Linked DNA regions of Drosophila melanogaster. The protein of the gene in region 2 interacts with the protein of the main gene of each other region in a pairwise test. Each region holds a gene or a part of one and is shown on either strand. Other genes may lie near its edges. The genes, in order: Vdup1, PSMG1, SrpRalpha and udd.

Region 1 (5,515 bases), on a different chromosome or scaffold from region 2:
CTATGGCTTCATCTCCTGGTAGTGGTAGGCTCTGCATCCCGAAGCCTTTACTGGTTATTGTGTAAGCTAGTGCTCTATGGAGGCATCACAAAGGAAGGGGTTAGCCAAAAGAGAACCTTAGATATGCTAATACAGATATGGTATAAGAAGCGTGGCGAACAAACCATTTGGTGTAATTTATGCAACCTAACCGCTTGTAAGCAGAGCTGACAATTAGTTAACAGTTCTTCTTTAGAATAAGGTCCTCTCATCGGCTGCGGCCGTCAGAACGTGTCAATTTCGGTCATTAGCTAGTTATGAAAATCTGTGGTAACTTGTGTATGGCGCTTCGATTGGACCAGTGATGAACTAGAATCAGCCTTCTTCATGTAAACACTAAGTTACTCACGGAGCGCTATTATGAGTGTCTTTATTGTTACAATTTTAACTTTCTCGCGTTCCACTGGCCCGACCGAAGACAGTTTAAAGTTTTCGATGCGAACCGTGCCTTACCAGCGCGCTCGGTATCTTCGCCACAACTGAGCCACTGCCCCAAGTCGGACATAGAAGCAGCTCGATTTAAGGGAGAGCGTGCCAGAGAGGTGAAACAAGGCAAGAGCAACGAAAACAGTGGCCAATGCGCCCAGCCAGTTGGGCATGAGAAAGTTTTGCAGGTGTAGCTCTGCTACACCTCTTGTTTTTCTCTTTGAGACTTTACGGTATCGTTGGTAAGTTTATGGAGTGGACCAGCCACTCCCCCTTGGTGATTGATGTTACACCAAGATATTCTCTGCCTTCACGTCTGGCTTTCGCTATTATTATAAGAGATGGAGATAGGCTTACTATAGGTTCCTCAGCGCCGGACTTTCAGAAAAATGATAAACAGAGCTGAGATTCGGAGATCGGTTCGGTGGTGCGCGGAGCAGCTTTGAAACCACACTGACTTTAACTCAAGAATACTTAGTTGTGGGCTCCACGAAACTTCGAGCTCAAGCGATTATCATTTTGAACCAAACTAGTATAGACGTCTCTATTCGAAACAACCTAATTTTCAGATACTCTATACGTCGAGGCCACAAACGGGAAATCTTTGGAGTCTCGTTGAAATCTCTCTTCGCGGTAAAGACTTGGGTCATTATAAAACAACAACTCCCAGCAATTAAGCCGAGAAACATTGAAATGGAAAACTATAGCCTAGCCATTGCTACTAAATGTCACTAATGCCGTTGGAAGAAATATGAAAAGCTGGAAAAGTTAAATACGAAAGTGATTTGTTTTCTCTTATAGCCAGCATAGTCTTCAAAACGATTGATTTCTTCAGTCCATATATAGTTTGACCATCGTTGCATCTCTACTCTTTCTAATATTATCTTATACTTTGTCGATCATAAGGATAACCTACAGATTCCTTTTAATAAAGTTTTCAAGGTATCTGCCACAGGACTCATTTTTTGACTAATTTTCAGGGTATAGCCATAGCTTGCCACAGCTTGCCACAGGCTGCCGAGCCATTCACCGATTCGGTTTTCGCAGCCAGTGATAGTTTGCTTGGCTTTTGGCCTTTCATTTTCATGAGCTACAGTTGAGGTTCTTCGATTTGGGTACCTTAAAACAACAAATAACCGGTATTAAATGCATGCATAATGCATAAATGTGTGCCACTTTATCCATTTTAGTCTGCACACGATTTGTCGACTATGGATAAATACCTGTAAAATATGGGCTTGGTGTTGGAAATACAGATTTATTTTCTAGGTGCAACCGAGTAACACAAGATACACCTGCTGAGCTATAGCGGGGCGACTCTGCGAGCATTGCCATATTATTAGCAAATTGCTCCTATAATCGATTCAGTTTGAACAGCTTAGCTAACCGTTGAGGTGACAATTTGGTTCTCATGCTCGTTTGGTCTTCTGTTGTCTGTGGTGCCGTTCCAGTTTTTTCCGTTTGAATTTATTCAAGAAGATACGCGCTTTGCGTATCCTGTAAGCCCGCTGGAAAGGTAAATTCAGCCATGTATTACATGAATGCAAAAGATAGTAAAAACAAAAGCGGGCTACTTATTGGCATTACGACATCAGCTGGCTCCGGCTGGGCCTCTCTCAAACGATCCCTCGCAAAAACGCGCTCAAAACAAGTTTTTCAGTCGAGCTCTCGTCCGCAAACTGATGCATAACGACGACGACGATGACGACGACGGTGATCAGTTGCCAAACAAACGCTCGAGAGCGTGGACGAGATCTTGCCAAACGAATATCGCTCAAAGGCAGAACGGGTTAAATCGGTTCGGTTTGGACTGGTGTTCCGATCTGGCCAAAAAACACCTTTGTGTGTACAGGTATTTGAAAAGCGATCATTATTTCAAGTGCGCCCACAGGGATGAAGAGAAAACAATTGATCTGTTGTGGATAAAAACAAAAATGTTGAACAATTTGAATGTAATCATTCCAATGGCAGTGTACGGTTGGGAATCCGCTTTCCACTAGGAAATTACGTCAGTTTTCTTTTCGGTTTCTGTTTCCCAATCAGGAATCATCAACATTGTCACCAGTGCACCAAACAGGCTTGCCGACAGTCGCAGTTGCAGCTTACGCTTTTGGTAAAGATGTACATACTGGAGTTTTGCCCAAATTTGTAGGCGCGGGCGTGACACGCCCGACATGCTTCATGCGCCGACCTTGCAGTTGATGCTTAAGTGTTCGGGGCTTTCGTGCTGCATAGTTGTGCACGCAGCCATCTCTTGGCCGTACGAAACTGGTTTTGTTTCCTTTGCCCGCCTAGATGCTACCCACATAAATATGCAAACAAGCGCCGTATGTATGTGAGACCGTAGTCCGTAGTACATGGTCTCAGACCTAGCCAGCTATGACGGATAAGTTGTCATTAACCATAATGACGCGTGCGGAGCGGGTCAAATATTTGGCAACCGTGTTCTAACGAATTTCGTTGGTTTTTCCTTAGGCGTACGAATGAAATCGGCAACAAAACAGAGGCACGATGCCGCGCAAGTTGCTTAAATTCCTTATCATCTTCGACAACACTTCCCTCCTGTACTTCCCGGGCCAGTTTCTCTCCGGACGGGTTCTAATCGAATTGCAGGATGAGACGCCTGCTTTGGGACTTCATTTCCATGTGGTAGGCGAAGGGGTCGTGCGCAACGGGCGGCGACAGGAGCGGACATACGATAAGGAGAACTATATCGACTTTCGGATGCGACTTCTGGGGGACGTAGACCAAGGAGGTCCAGCTATACTCTCGCCAGGAATTCACAGCTTCCCCTTCAAACTCGGCTTGCCACTGGGTCTTCCATCTACATTTCTCGGTCGGTACGGCTGGATTCAGTTCTACTGCAAGGCGGCGCTCCGCGAGAACAATGGCATTATCCATAAGAACCACCAGGTCTTCATTGTGATGAATCCCATCGACCTAAACCTTGAAAAGCCCATCTTAGCAGTAAGTAGCTTTAAAAACCCTGTTTAAAAAAACTAACCTTTCGCCTGACTCAGCAACCGTTCACCTGCGAAGTTGAGCACAAGCTAGGCGTCGTCTGTGTTGGTGGAGGTCAGATAAAGTGCAGAGTGTCCCTTGATCGCGGTGGGTATGTGCCCGGCGAGAATATTCTGGTCACCGCATTTATATCCAACTACAGTAATGTGTCCATTAAACGGACTAAGGCATCCCTCACTGAGGTCGGTATCGCTTTCAAGTGGCTAGTTACAATTCATCCATTTTGATCTTATTTGGATTTTATTTAGACCATCGAGTATTTGGCGCGGGGGAAGGTGGTGCAAACGGAAAAACGGGAGCTGGCTGTTTTAGTTCGTGGCAAGATCCGTCCGGGGGCCAAAGACGAGTGGCACAACGAGCTTTACGTTCCACCCCTGCCGCCGACCAATCTTCATGGCTGCCACCTGATCAAAATATCCTACGACGTCTTCTTCGTGATCGAACCCAAGTCCATGGAGAAGGAGATTAAGCTACAGCTTCCTATCGTGCTTGCGACGTACCCCTTTCGACACTCCGGTGATGCGGTCAATGCCAACACCTGGCCGGAATCGGTGCTTAAGCCGGACACGCACACCCACTATCCGTCCACACTACCCATATTCCGGCCCTGGCTGCACGAGAAGCCTATCGAGGCATAGCCCGCAGCTTTTAGGATTGCTGTGTATCACAACTTGTTAAGACCGATTTGCGCCATACAACAATTTAAACTTATTTAACTTATACTTAACGTTTTTTAATGTTTCTGGTCTTTGCATTTGTAGGTCTTCCGTTCCCAAAAATTTGTTCATGATTGAAGAATTTATAACAAATACAAACGAAAGTTAACATAAAGACCAGACTTTGATAAATTATAATTAGCTCATATACATAACTTTTTATAAAACCTAAATATTGTAGGTTATATATTATTAAAATGGTAAAACTGCACTCATTAACCTTCTAACTACTACTAAATGGTTATAATAATAATAATAATCCCAAAAGTATGGTTGTTGAAATTGAAATAAATTGTTTAAAACGTTACAGCCTAAAGTATGCTATTAAAAAGCTGGCTTGTTCGGAATTTAAATTCGCGAAATTAAGTATTGATTCCAAAACTAAAAAGGGCCACACTGCACGTTAAGATGACAACAATTATATTAGTCCTCTTTATTTGGATAGTTTTATTCAATGACGTATCCAGCGACTGTGGCTGCCAAAAGCTCGACCGGAAGGCCCCGGATATGCCGTCCATTTCCGGACAAGTGTGCCAGCAACGAGCACAGGGTGCACACAGCCACTACCGGGATTACTATGGCGAACTGGAGCCAAATATTGCGGACATGTCACTGCTTCCGGGAGGCACGGTTTACATGGGTACTGACAAACCGCACTTTCCGGCCGACCGCGAGGCTCCGGAACGGCAGGTGAAGCTGAATGACTTCTACATCGACAAGTATGAGGTTTCCAACGAAGCCTTTGCGAAGTTTGTTCTGCACACTAACTACACCACGGAGGCTGAGCGATATGGCGACAGTTTTCTGTTTAAGAGCCTTTTGAGCCCATTGGAGCAGAAGAACCTAGAGGACTTCCGAGTGGCGAGCGCTGTCTGGTGGTACAAAGTGGCCGGCGTGAACTGGCGACATCCAAATGGCGTGGACAGCGATATAGACCACTTAGGCCGACACCCGGTAGTGCACGTATCGTGGCGCGACGCTGTGGAGTACTGTAAGTGGGCCGGCAAGCGGTTGCCCAGCGAGGCGGAGTGGGAGGCGGCTTGCAGGGGCGGCAAGGAGCGCAAACTGTTTCCCTGGGGCAACAAGCTGATGCCAAGGAATGAACATTGGCTGAACATCTGGCAGGGAGACTTTCCCGATGGCAACCTGGCTGAAGATGGGTTTGAGTACACCAGCCCCGTGGATGCCTTCCGACAGAATATTTACGACCTGCACAACATGGTGGGCAACGTCTGGGAGTGGACGGCAGATCTGTGGGACGTAAATGACGTTAGCGATAATCCAAATCGGGTCAAGAAGGGCGGTTCTTATCT
Region 2 (3,840 bases):
AGTCCAACGAGTTCATTCGACACAAGTTCCTTGTCGAAATGCCGCCGGACTTCTACGAATTTTGGAAGTTTGTGGGAAGCTTAAAAATTGATCCTGCGAAGCCCAAGGATGCTGGCTTGGAGCACCTAGACAAAGTATTTCAACTGCAGTTGGTGGGTCCCTTTGAGTTCCTAGCCGGTAAATTTCACGGCGCCAAACTAGGCGAACCGGGAGACTACCTGCGCCACTGGCGTTTTTACTACGATCCACCAGAATTTCAGACGATCTTCGTGCGCCGAGGCACTGGGATTCACTACGGTTACTGGCGCGATGTGCCGCAGGACAAGGAAAATCTCTTAATAGCCCGCAACGACTCTGCGAAAGGCTGCCAGTTCCAATTCGTCGCTGGAAATGCCTTCGATGCTTTCCTCTACTACCTGGAGCACGATTTTGCGGCCACTCCGTTCTCATGCGGGCAGTTGGCGGGGACCAAAAAGGCGGTGGCAAAATACCTGAGTGACAATTCCCTAGAACTGGCCCAGCTGGACCGACTGCAGCGGGAGCGCAACAAGCGTGTTGTGGCCAAGACATTCCACCGAGCCGGCATTGTTGTGCCCTTTGACCAGAAGACAGAAGTGGGATACCGCCCGCTGGCTGTCAGCGATTCCGAACTCAAGAAGATGCTGGCAATGCTTGAGCGGAAGGACGTCGATAATGGAGCCGCCAAGCAGGCGGTTCTGGAGAAGCTGCAGCCGGTGGCCAACGCAGCCAACATAGCAGTTGATGAATCGGACTTTGGAAGCGCCCTGGAACTAGGCATCGATATGTTCTGCAGTGGGCACAAGGAGCTGCACATGCTTGCCTCATCGTTGCTGGTACCCGCCTATTCAATGCTTTCCCGTCCACAGTTCATAGCCATCGCCAAGGCGCACATGGAGCAACGTAGTCGGGAGGACAACCTCAGCATTTTTGATGTACTTAAGTAGTTCGATTTTTATTCCGCAACCGTATCATTTTTACAAGCATTAAAACTAGGAAGTTGAGCACAGCCAAAAGTAGTTTCACATGTACAAATAAGAGCTCTCCTTCCGCGGAGGGATGTAGCTCGAGCTGCAGGCAACGCCCGCGGCTTTAAGTACCTTGATCACTGGCTGCGCAGCTGTGGCGTCGAGGGGCAGCTTGTCGGTGTAAATAACGAAAGAGGTAACAGGCAATTCCATCTGATCCCGCCAACTGGCAACTGCAAAAAAAGGTGAACAGATGGTGAGGTGATTCAACCTTCTCCTTTTCCACTCATCACTCACCGCCTGCTGCAACTCCAGCGATAAAGTTGGGAGCCTCTAGTTCAGTGATATCCTTCTGGTTGGCACCTATGCCGCGGACAACGGCAATGTGATCCCGGTAGAGCTGGATGTCCTCGCTTTTGAACTCGACCTTTGGCTTAAGCGTCAGAGTGATCACTTTCTTGGCAAGCTTCACGTACGGCAGTAGGAGCTCCGCTACCTCGCCGCTACTGGTCAGGTCCTCGTTGATTATGGCCAGCAACTGTTTGGACGAATGACTCCAGTGCAGGGTCGAGTTATTGGCAGGAATGGCGCACACACGCTTTGCATCCTTTTCCAGCAGAGAAGAGGCGAAGTGAGTGACGTTGACGCCCTCAATGACCACCAGCATCTCGCTCTCCACAGGGGCAGCTTCCCCATCGCAATCATCATCAAACTTCAGCTGCAGCCTGCGAATCCAAGAAATTAGGACTACCTACGTAAATAACATTAGATCACGCACTTCTCCACCGGCTTAAGGTTCTCCAATTCATCCTCGTCGCAGTCGTCCCAGAAGGCACGCGACGAGGGTATATTTAGTTCTCCAAATCCTGGACAGCTCATCGTGTCTGTTTTGATTTAATAAAAAAGGTGAAACTAATATGATGAGCCTAATTCCGGTCACTATGTTTTTTTCAAGTCATCAGTGTGACCATGTGCTGAACGCCAAAATAAACGTTTTTCTATTTGAATAAATTACATTTGCAGGTAATATTTAGGAACTTTTAGCGCTTTTTCTGAACTTATTAGGGCTTGGCATGTCAATTAAAGATTTAACAATAAGCTAATTCCAAAATTATGTATTGACAATATTGTTTGGGGGTTTTGAGAATTGATGGAAGTTACGCCCACTGAGCAAGGGAGAAATCAAACTTCAATTGTTAGTTCTAGTCGAATATTAAAACAAATGTGGTTCCAGCTTATTGGTTTTGCCTGATTAAATATTTTCGACTCTTCCGTTTTTTTTTAAGTTGAAACAAAAAATTCCGCACAGGTTAATAAAAATACCAGATCAGCATCGCAGCAGAAGCAGCGCTCAAGCACGGTCATACTGAATACAAAAAATGCAAGATGCAGGTCCATATTCGAATTGGAAAACCACTTTGATCGCTAATTAGAAACAGATTAAGAACCTCACGTCGGTGAAAATATTCCGTAGGGCAGCGCGCTAGGACAGGTCTCAAATTTTTTGGTTAGCAGTGGGAGCAAGCGCGCAAACCAGCGCCATGAGAAAGCGAAGCTCACGTTGTAACTCTGACACTTTCAAGGAGGAGCAGATGGACCACAACGGTGACGACATCAGCCTGCTGCAGCGGCCGCTGCGCACCGCCCACACGGGATTCGAGGAGGCCCGTCGGGCCTATGAGGATGGCACCAGCGAGGTGAGTCTCATCTGAGTGGAGTACGTGACTCAATTGTGGCCCGCAATGGCGGAGGCTCCTGCGCCCCAGTTTGGTGGATCCCCGGATAACAATCAGATTCTCCCACAGGTGCGCCAGCTGCTCAGTCTGGAGTGCAGCCTGATCTACGAGTGCAAGGTGTGCCGCAACATGTTTCGCAGCCTGGCCAATTTCATCAGCCACAAACGCGTCTTTTGCTGCGTCAGCGCTCGTTCGGCAAATGGCAGCGGATACACAGTGAGTGGGCAGTAAAGACAACCCCATTACAAGGTCTCTAATACCATAGGATGTCAACTAATCGCTGTTAATTCTCCCCCAGGATCAGAATTCCACTATGATCATACAAACGGGTGGTGGTCCGTCCCCGCAGGACATTGAACATATGCTACGCAGCAGAAGCACGGGATGCTCGCCTGTTCCCCGCGACGTGCGTCCCTTACGAGGAGGAGGTGGCGGCGGCATAAGGGACCTGAGTGGTGTTATAGAGCGTCTGCGACGGGAAAAGGCTACATCACAGGCCAAGTGCAGCTCGCCCACTGTTCTGCAGCTGGAGTCTGTGCCCAACTCTAGCCAGGCTGTTTATCAGACCATCAAAGTGGACCACGACGACAGCATAAGGACAGAACTGGACGAGGTGCATCGCATGCTTAATCCATCTGAAACCATTGTGGGACCCGACGGCAAGGCCTTGGCAACCGTTAAGCTGGAAAACAATGCAGGCAGCGACTCCGGCGAGCAGTCCATCAGCGACGAAACGGAGCCGAGTATTTTCTGCGAGATCTGTACGACTACCTAACCGAATAGGCCTTGAATACAATTAGTGATAGCTGTGTTTCCTAATCTCGTTCACAGGCAATCTGACGTTTCAGACGCACAAAACGCTTGAGGTGCACATTCAGAAGCATCACTCATCATCGGCGTTTGTGTTTCAGTGCCCAGCCTGTTCGCTGACCTTTCTGCAGGCCGCTGCTGTTATTCGTCATTTGTCGAAGGATCACAAGTAAGTTCAACTTAACCCGACCATAGAATTTTTATATTTTATTATTATAAAATATATGATATTATTCTACTTCAAGGGGACAGGTTCCTTTTTTCTTTCACATGGTCCATTTATATCTGCTTACTGCATACTGCATTCC
Region 3 (5,228 bases), on a different chromosome or scaffold from region 2:
TTATATATTTTATAACTTGTTCTCGTTGAATTCCAGTAAAATTCACGTGTTCCCCTTTGGGTCATACTCGTATGGAAATAAGTATAGGGCTTTTTCCCCATAGACAGATCCCTAATGAAACATACAACCTATAATGTTCATTTATACACACTGCACATTGCCATTTTGCAGGAACACGAGATGTCCGACGAGCTGATTGTGCAGCACCAGGCCATCGACGACCTGCAGCAGACGGAGGAGATGGTGGTGGAGTATCATCGCACCGTTAATGCCACACTGGAGACCTTCCTCGCCGAGTCGAAGGCGCTGTACAATCTGACCAACTATGTGGACTACGACCAGGACTCGTACTGCAAACGGGGCGAGTCGATGTTCTCGCAGCTGCTGGACATCGCCATCCAGTGCCGCGACATGATGGCCGAATATCGCGCCAAGTTGGCCAAGGAGGAGATGCTGTCGTGCAGCTTCAATTCGCCGAATGGCAAGCGTTAGTTCATTCCCGCATTCGACCCGTTCATCCACAATCACCAACAATCATCCACCACACCCAACCAGGCGTACACTTTACATTACAAATTCCCTCTGGCTTCCCAATGGACGTGTCTGTCGTGCAGTCCCCTAAAACAATCTCTCTATCACCTTTGCCCCAAACCGTCGAGTTTATGTCGCTGCGAGTTTATGGTTTATTAAGTTTTTAACTGATAAATAATAGTCGAGAGCCTATATTTTACAAACGAACTAAGCACGGGAACAGACCAGATACCACAGCATTAATACCATTATGAGAGCAACGCAAACCAATAAAAAGGAACTCAACTGAAAACTGAAGACAGGCTAGGCTGGCTGGCCACGACTTTGTTTGGATTCGCCGTGAACTATGATTATATGAATATAATTGTAATTTCAGCGCAGTCGATACTCTAATTGTGTAAAAGAAAAAGACATTTACTATACAATATATATATATTTACTACTTACAAACATACGTTCTACTCTAAACAATGATATGAGATTCCATTTAATTTTTAACAAATAACCTTATGCGATTCGATTCGATGCGATTTGTTTCCCTCATTTTTGTTCATTTTGTAGAATTACTCGACCAGAGTTGTTTGTTCATGCCACGGCACAAATCTACTAGTTTTTAAATTACGAACTAATCGCGCATTGTATTTATTTAAAGGCCACAAAACTGTATTTAATTTGTATTAATTTATTAAAGTACTACTGCACCAAATCCGATTTACATACGTATTCCCATAGCCAGTAACTATTAATGATTTTCACACGCAAACCGAACTGCAATCTTAGACAGCAAGTGTTTTTTTTTGTGAAACTTTTTATGCCCCTTCTTTATAAATTTATATATCTACATATAAATTATTTACATTATATTTTTTTTTGTCATTTTAAGCGACTTCGGTGAAGAATTTAAAATGCAAACTGTTTTTGCTATACGATTATTATGATTTAGAGATGATTTGCATTTCATTTTGTACTAATATTTATTGCATATATTTAATTATGTTTACACGACTAAAAACTAAACTATCGAAAGCAAATCAAACGAAACTTAACCAAATCATGGATTTCCACACACTGCTGTTTGTGCTGCGATAAAAACGAAACAACAAAGCAAAATACACTGAGAAAAAACACACACACAAATCTGTTCCAAATAGCGGAGAACCTAGTATCGTAGCCTTAAAAAGAAAAGTAAAAAAGAAAGCAAACAAAGCAAACTAAACTAAATCGAAAATGTGAACGAAACATACTCACGTGCTTCTCCTAAAGTATTTATCCAATCAAGACGTTTAATCTTTTTGTTATGGCATTTCCTCAGAGCACTTTAAAAATGAAAATACTAAACAAAACCCAAGGCAGGCGAATGATAATGATAAACCATTTTTTAATCCACCAAATGCGAGTTTTTAAAACAATGTTAATATGGCAAAACCAACTGAATGAGTGCTTCGATATTATGCGGTATAAATAATGAAAGTGTTAGGACTTGGACTCTAATAATGTATTATTAAATATAAATAATAAATTATATTGTAATGAAACGTGAACATACACAACTAAATTTAACATTAAAGATGTGTAAAGCAAAAACAAAGGACTCTTCATTTATTTTCGAATGGGAACTAGTTTTTAATCATAAAAACAGGGAATCCTCTAACTGCTGCCCTACATTTGAAATGTATAAGTTAGCTTGGAACTACTGTATTTGCATTTCATATGAATAATAGACTTCTAGTGAAATTAATATTGCTTATTGTTTTTTTTTTTTTCAAATTGAACTATTTGTATTTAACGGTTTTTCGGCTTTCAAAAGTGACAGCTTTCGATATCGATAACGCGCGTAGCTATCGAGCGCGCTGCCATCGCTAGGCAAGTGACGTGGAACGTGTGGCAACTTTTGATTTGATGCAAATGCAATGCGAGTAGAGTGCGTTGTTGTTGAAAGTGACGACGGATCGGAAGCGTAGCTAAAATGTTGGACTTTGTGGTGATATTCACCAAGGGCGGAGTGGTGCTGTGGCACTCGAACGCGTCCGGTAACAGTTTCGCCTCCTGCATCAACAGCCTGATACGTGGCGTCATTCTGGAGGTAAGTGCATGCACGGATTTGGTTGTGAATGCACCAATGGACACTAATGTGCTTTTGTGCGGCTGCAGGAGCGCAACACAGAGGCCAAGTACTACGAGGAGGACCACCTGGCCGTGCAGTTTAAGCTGGACAACGAACTGGACCTGGTCTATGCGGCCATTTTCCAGAAGGTGATCAAACTGAACTACCTAGATGGATTCCTGGCCGACATGCAGGCGGCCTTCAAGGAAAAGTACGGCGACATACGTCTGGGCGATGACTACGACTTCGATCGCGAATATCGACGCGTGCTCAGCGCCGCGGAGGAGGCGTCCGCCAAGCAAGTGAAAGCACCTAAAACCATGCGCTCCTACAACGAGTCACAGAAATCGAAAAAGACCGTCGCCTCGATGATACAGGACGACAAGAAGCCGGTGGAGAAGCGGGTGAACATCCAGGAGGCCCCGCCACCATCCAAATCACAGCCGTCGTCGCCACCGACGGGCTCCCCAATGGACAAGATCATCATGGAGAAACGGCGCAAGCTGCGCGAAAAGCTCACGCCCACCAAGAAGACCTCGCCCAGTGATTCCAAGTCCAGCAAGCCCGAGAAGGCCGGCAAGAAGCCACGCGTCTGGGATCTGGGCGGTAATTCCAAGGATGCCGCTCTGCTCGATCGCTCCAGGGATTCGCCCGATGATGTGCAGTACCAGAACATCAACAGCGAGGTGAGTACTAACTTTCACTTTCCCCGAACGCGACTCGCATTCAAAGTGAAATCACGAACTCATTATTATCATTTTTCATACTCGCAGCTGGTGGGCACAATGCAGGGCGTCATCCGCGACTTGGATGTGGAGAGCGAGGACGAGGCTGACAACGAGGATGCATCCTCTGAGGGGGAGGCCGAGGAGCAGGTGCAGTCAAAGAAGGGCAAGCGCGGTGGCCTGCTATCCTACTTCAAGGGCATTGTAGGCGCCAAGACCATGTCGCTGGCAGATTTGCAGCCGGCGCTGGAGAAGATGCGCGACCATCTGATATCGAAGAACGTGGCCTCTGAGATAGCAGCTAAGCTGTGCGACTCGGTGGCCGCCAGTTTGGATGGCAAGCAAATGGGCACATTCGACAGCATCGCCAGCCAGGTGAAGGAGGCGCTCACGGAATCGCTGGTGAGGATACTATCGCCCAAACGGCGCATCGACATCATACGCGATGCCCTCGAATCGAAGCGCAACGGCCGCCCGTACACGATAATCTTCTGCGGTGTCAATGGTGTCGGCAAGTCCACCAATTTGGCCAAGATCTGCTTTTGGCTGATCGAGAACGATTTCAACGTTCTGATCGCCGCCTGCGATACGTTCCGAGCCGGTGCCGTCGAGCAGTTGCGCACACACACACGCCATCTGAACGCACTGCATCCGGCGGCCAAGCACGATGGACGCAACATGGTGCAGTTGTACGAGAAGGGTTACGGCAAGGATGCCGCCGGCATTGCCATGGAGGCCATCAAGTTTGCCCACGATACGCGAGTGGATGTGGTGCTTGTGGACACCGCCGGACGCATGCAGGATAACGAGCCGCTGATGCGTTCCCTGTCCAAGCTAATCAAAGTGAACAATCCGGATCTGGTGCTATTCGTGGGCGAGGCACTGGTGGGCAACGAAGCCGTCGACCAGCTGGTCAAGTTCAATCAGTCGCTGGCCGACTACTCATCCAACGAGAACCCGCACATCATCGACGGCATAGTGTTGACCAAGTTCGATACCATCGATGACAAGGTGGGCGCCGCCATCTCCATGACCTACATAACCGGCCAGCCAATTGTGTTCGTGGGCACGGGTCAGACGTATGCCGACCTAAAGGCCATCAATGTGAACGCCGTGGTCAATTCCCTGATGAAGTAAGCCAGCCGTCGATCCGGCTATCCTTCCAATGCTCCTTGTTTGCATCCACTCTTTTCACCGAATCAAATATATGGCTTTTGTCTAGTTTGTTGTTGCGTAAATGGAATGCTTTGCCCACTGTTGGCTGTTGGTTCGTTTAGGATTAAGGATCGCTTGGCACTTCGATTACAAGTTGTTTTGTTTTTTTTTATTTTTTTATTAATGTTTATAACTTTATGCGTACAAAGAAGAGTTTAGTGTGTTGGGGGAAAAAATGGGGCGGGAGTAGTGTGTATGAATTAATATAATCTATTTGTAGAACTCGTGCTCCTGCTCGTCCTTCTTGATATTGTTCTTGTAGCCCTTCTCGAAGTCCTTGGCCAAAACGATGTAGCGATTCTCACGCACCGCGTGCATGCCCGCCTCTTGGCAAATGGCGTTGATATCGGCACCGGAGATCTTGTCCGGCCGCGCCACAAACTCCTCCAAATCGACATCCTCGCTTAGGTTCATCTTCGAGGTGATGGTGGAGAAGACGAGTCGCTTCTGCCGGCGATCGGGCAGCGGGAACTCAATCTTACGATCCAATCGACCAGGTCGCAGCAATGCCGGATCGAGTGTGTCCGCCCTGTTGGTAGCCATGATCACCTTAACGTTCGTGGTCTGATCGAACCCGTCCATCTGGTTGAGCAGCTCGAGCAGAATGCGCTGCACCTCGCGATCGGCGCCAGTCTGCGCATCGAAACGCTTCG
Region 4 (3,799 bases), on a different chromosome or scaffold from region 2:
CTTATCAGTATCTTAATAGATTCTTTAATACCCTGAATATAAATAAGAAAATCCGATTGGTTACCTTCCAGGTGTAGTTTCGAAATTAGTAATTGACGTCGTCTCTCCGCTTCTTCGCAGAATGCTCTTAGGCTTCCTCTGTATGGTGTCTCCCTGAAGTTCTCCAGAAGTTTGTAGTTTGGTGTTTGAATTTTAAATTCCGCGATGAGTCTTGCTTTAAGGGTAGGCCAATCTTCGATGTTCGGAAGTCCCAAAGATCGTGTAATTTGTCCGTCCAAGTTCCTTTCGATGGCTCCCAGTAGAATCCTCTGTTGTCGGACATCATTTGTTTGGTAGAGCGAAATTACGTAATCCACTCTGCTGATAAAGGTGTGAAGGGTTTCTGGATCACCCTTGAATGGCATAATGTCTTTAAGCTGCCGACGGGCTTCGGCAAGGTTTATGTCGCTCAGCGCAATAATTGGTTGTGACATTTTTATTGTAAAATTTTTAACTTTTGTGTTTTATTTTTTTGTTTTGTTTCGGATTCAATGTTATTATTATTTTTAAGCTTTCTAGTTTCACTTGTTTGTTTTTTTTTGTTTTGTAAATTTTTGTGTTGTATTATTAAAATTCTATATTGTTTTAATTTTTTATTTTTATATGTTGGTTTTAAAACTTAGTTGCCTTTGGACTTAATATTTTTGTTTCGTATTTCACTTCCACTTATTATTGGATAACCGAATTGGAATTATAATCCAAGTTGAAGAGTTTTCACGAATTTATTTTGGGAGATGTTTCGAGCACTGGACTATAAAATTTAACTTATTTTCCACTCGAAGGTTCTTTTTTTTTCGGATACTTTTGTATCCTACCGACTGCGCCAGTAAAATTGTTGTTTTATTTATGAGTCGAACTAATGTCCCGTCAGTTGACTAAGGACAACGCCAAGAAATAAAAAATAGTTTTTAGGAGAAATAGTTTCACGACTTTATTCTTTGGATCTCAGCTTAAGACTAAAAATCAAATGCAAATTGGATTGAGGAGAAGCCTCAGTATTTGAACAATATTTGTATTTCGGGAGAGCCTCGCTCTTGGGTTCTTAAGATTAGGTAGCGTTGAAAGAGGGCAGTCAAATCTGCTTAGGTCAGGCTTTAGGATGTTTACAAGAACGGCTGCGCTGCCAAAGATAAACGAATGCTGCGCAGCTGGGATACGTTATGGAAAATTACTAGAGTGCATTACTGATTTCTTTGAAATAATGGAAGTGGCTGGTTTGGACCACCCAAATACGTCACTATATATTAGTGGGATGGACGCAGTTTTAATAGGCAATTTAATATGCGTTTTTTTATGAGGTAGTTATATTATATTTCTTGCCTAACTTCGTCGTTATTAAAAAAGGTAACTAGGATAGAATAGCATTTAATGAATCGTCTAATGCTATGTCTTCATCTGTGGGTCTCGTCGGAGGAGTCGGCTCCACTCGCAACTGCTCCATTTTCGTGTAGAACTTTGGGCACTTTTGAAGAACCTTGGAGTATTCCGTGAATATTTGAAAGGACGCCCTTTGGAGCAGCGTTTCTCCCATATGATTGGAGGCCAGTATTTTTGCCAAGTTCTTGTAGTCCCGCTGCATAAGGCAATCCCGGGCCAGTCGTAGTTTCTCGTACGCAGTGGATCGTCGAACGCTGAAGTAAAACTCGTTACTGGCCGGAGGAGCACAGGATGGGTTTTGGTTCACCCAAAAGCCATCTTCGGGACTGGTGGCGATCTCAAGCGTGCGTTTCAAAACATTTGCGGGTATCCTTCTGGCTGGAAAATTCTCACCCTTTATTTTACGCGGTGCAGTTTTCAAAGGCGATGGCTTCTCATCTTTTGTTTTCATTTTATATGGCGAAAGCGAACATAAATGCGTCGCGAACACAATGCGTCGTGCTAACAGTGATAGGCAATGTTAACCTGTTTCACACCAATATCGATAGGCAGTGCTGCCCGCTGAGCTATCGATTACCCGCAGCCAATCGATGTTTTGATTCGTCCGATATCCCAAAAAGCAATATTTTCCGCATGCAACCAAAAGCGAAATAATAAAATGTTGCCTGTGTAATTGTACTTCCGAAGTTTTGTCGATTTGAATAGTCTCTCAGGCGTCGAAGGAACCCCATTTGTCCAAAAGGACGCCGTTTGTCGGAGAAATCTACTTCGCAGCCGGAAAATTCACAGGAAGTCTATTTGCCTTGAGTTCGCAAGTTGCCAATTTCTTGACGACCCCAGTGCAAAAGTCGCAAAAATATTACGAATATTTGCTGGTAATCATTTCAAGGGTACGTATCGAAATACAAACTGCAATCCCTTCCCTTAAAGGAAAAGCCAGCAATCAATAACCGATCTCCACGCCCAGGACTAAGCAAAGCCGGTGCGACGAAAGCAGGGCAGGATCAGGAGAGCAGGAGCGGAGTGGAGATCCTGCTGGCAGCAGGGGCCCTAAGCTATGAGTGCGGCCAAGAAGTACAAGCCCATGGACACAACTGAGCTGCACGAGAACACAGAGAATATTGCCGCCTGCCTGAAGAAGGCCGAGAACGTCGCCCCCACCGCTGCTGCCGCCTCGAGCGTGGGCCGCAGTGCCTTCGCTGCCCAAAACATGAATTCTGCGTCCACCAACGGCGAGCGCCTGCCAAACTTCTCCAAGCTAGGCGGCAGCCATGGCGAGATCCGCACGGCTTCAACTACCTCAAATCTCCTCAATCGCATGGGGGCTATTCACAACAGCAAGCCTGGCGATGTCAAGAAGATAGTGATTAAGAACTTTAAGGGTAGGTCCCGTCTAGATCTCAACTGTTTGTATACTGCATGATTCAACTTCCTTCCTTCCTTCCTTAGATAAGCCTACACTGCCCGATAACTATTCCAAGGACACGTACGTGAAGCTTGAAGAAGCCGTTATCGCCATCCAACTCTCCAAGCCCATTAAATATTCGCTGGAGGAGCTCTACCAGGCGGTGGTGAACATGTGTAGCCACAAGATGGATGCACAATTATACGCGAAACTCAAGGAGCTAACAGAGCAACACGTAAAGCGCAATATTAAGCTCAAGGAGCTCACCGGCGGTAGCATGGACAAACTGGTAAGTTGCTGTTTAAGGAGCACATTTAAAGGTTTACTCGTCAACTTTTATTGTCTTTTAGATTTTGCTGGAAAAGATCAACCACTGGTGGCTCTCGTTCTGCCAACAAATGATCATGATTCGCAGCATATTCTTGTATATGGATCGAACTTATGTGCTGCAAAATTCGACCGTTCACTCGATTTGGGACATGGGGCTGGACCTTTTTCGCATCCATTTTGCTCAAAACAGCGTTGTCCAAAAGCGAACCGTCGACGGTTTACTAACGCTTATTGAAAAAGAACGACAAGGCTCCACCGTGGACCGTGGTTTGCTGAAGAGCTTGGTTCGCATGTTATGCGACCTGCAGATCTACACCAGCTCCTTTGAGGAGAAGTTCCTCGACGCAACCAATCAATTGTATAAGGCTGAGAGTCAACGCAAGATGCAAGAACTGGAAGTTCCCGAGTACTTACAACACGTCAACAAGCGTTTGGCCGAGGAGAACGAGCGTTTGCGTCACTATCTGGACTCGAGCACCAAGTATGCTGGCGAAGTCAATAATAAAAACAATTATTAATGCGTTTTTTACAGACATCCACTGATTTACAATGTGGAAAAAGAGTTACTTGCCGAACACCTAACGTCAATATTGCAGAAGGGCTTGGATTCATTGTTGGAAGACAACAGACTGAGTGACCTTACACTGT

What was found.
Region 1: the proteins of PSMG1 (region 2) and Vdup1 interact in a two-hybrid assay, tested with the Drosophila melanogaster proteins (one large-scale study listed by BioGRID).
Region 3: the proteins of PSMG1 (region 2) and SrpRalpha interact in a two-hybrid assay, tested with the Drosophila melanogaster proteins (one large-scale study listed by BioGRID).
Region 4: the proteins of PSMG1 (region 2) and udd interact in a two-hybrid assay, tested with the Drosophila melanogaster proteins (one large-scale study listed by BioGRID).

The regions. Positions count from the first base shown.
Region 1 is NT_037436.4:175,299-180,813, reverse strand, and holds Vdup1 (vitamin D[[3]] up-regulated protein 1), read left to right. Parts: upstream 1-1,850; 5' UTR 1,851-1,981; intron 1,982-2,178; exon of another isoform or gene 2,179-2,317; intron 2,318-2,508; exon of another isoform or gene 2,509-2,940; 5' UTR 2,941-2,976; coding exon 2,977-3,432; intron 3,433-3,485; coding exon 3,486-3,668; intron 3,669-3,734; coding exon 3,735-4,124; 3' UTR 4,125-4,312; downstream 4,313-5,515. Other genes in the region: CG13875 (uncharacterized protein), read right to left, coding at 1-37; CG7049 (uncharacterized protein), read left to right, coding at 4,611-5,515.
Region 2 is NT_033777.3:5,792,358-5,796,197, forward strand, and holds PSMG1 (proteasome assembly chaperone 1), read right to left. Parts: upstream 1,961-3,840; 5' UTR 1,866-1,960; coding exon 1,765-1,865; intron 1,712-1,764; coding exon 1,284-1,711; intron 1,220-1,283; coding exon 1,041-1,219; 3' UTR 966-1,040; downstream 1-965. Other genes in the region: Hpf1 (histone PARylation factor 1), read left to right, coding at 1-965; CG10979 (uncharacterized protein), read left to right, coding at 2,528-2,683, 2,792-2,938, 3,021-3,483, 3,554-3,701.
Region 3 is NC_004354.4:11,126,244-11,131,471, reverse strand, and holds SrpRalpha (signal recognition particle receptor alpha), read left to right. Parts: upstream 1-2,384; 5' UTR 2,385-2,497; coding exon 2,498-2,614; intron 2,615-2,682; coding exon 2,683-3,321; intron 3,322-3,408; coding exon 3,409-4,497; 3' UTR 4,498-4,595; downstream 4,596-5,228. Other genes in the region: Klp10A (Kinesin-like protein at 10A), read left to right, coding at 172-492; Rpt3 (regulatory particle triple-A ATPase 3), read right to left, coding at 4,786-5,228. UniProt on the Drosophila melanogaster protein: Component of the SRP (signal recognition particle) receptor. Ensures, in conjunction with the signal recognition particle, the correct targeting of the nascent secretory proteins to the endoplasmic reticulum membrane system.
Region 4 is NT_033778.4:8,104,524-8,108,322, reverse strand, and holds udd (under-developed), read right to left. Parts: upstream 1,939-3,799; 5' UTR 1,868-1,938; coding exon 1,388-1,867; 3' UTR 950-1,387; downstream 1-949. Other genes in the region: Cul4 (cullin 4), read left to right, coding at 2,474-2,798, 2,866-3,110, 3,172-3,632, 3,684-3,799.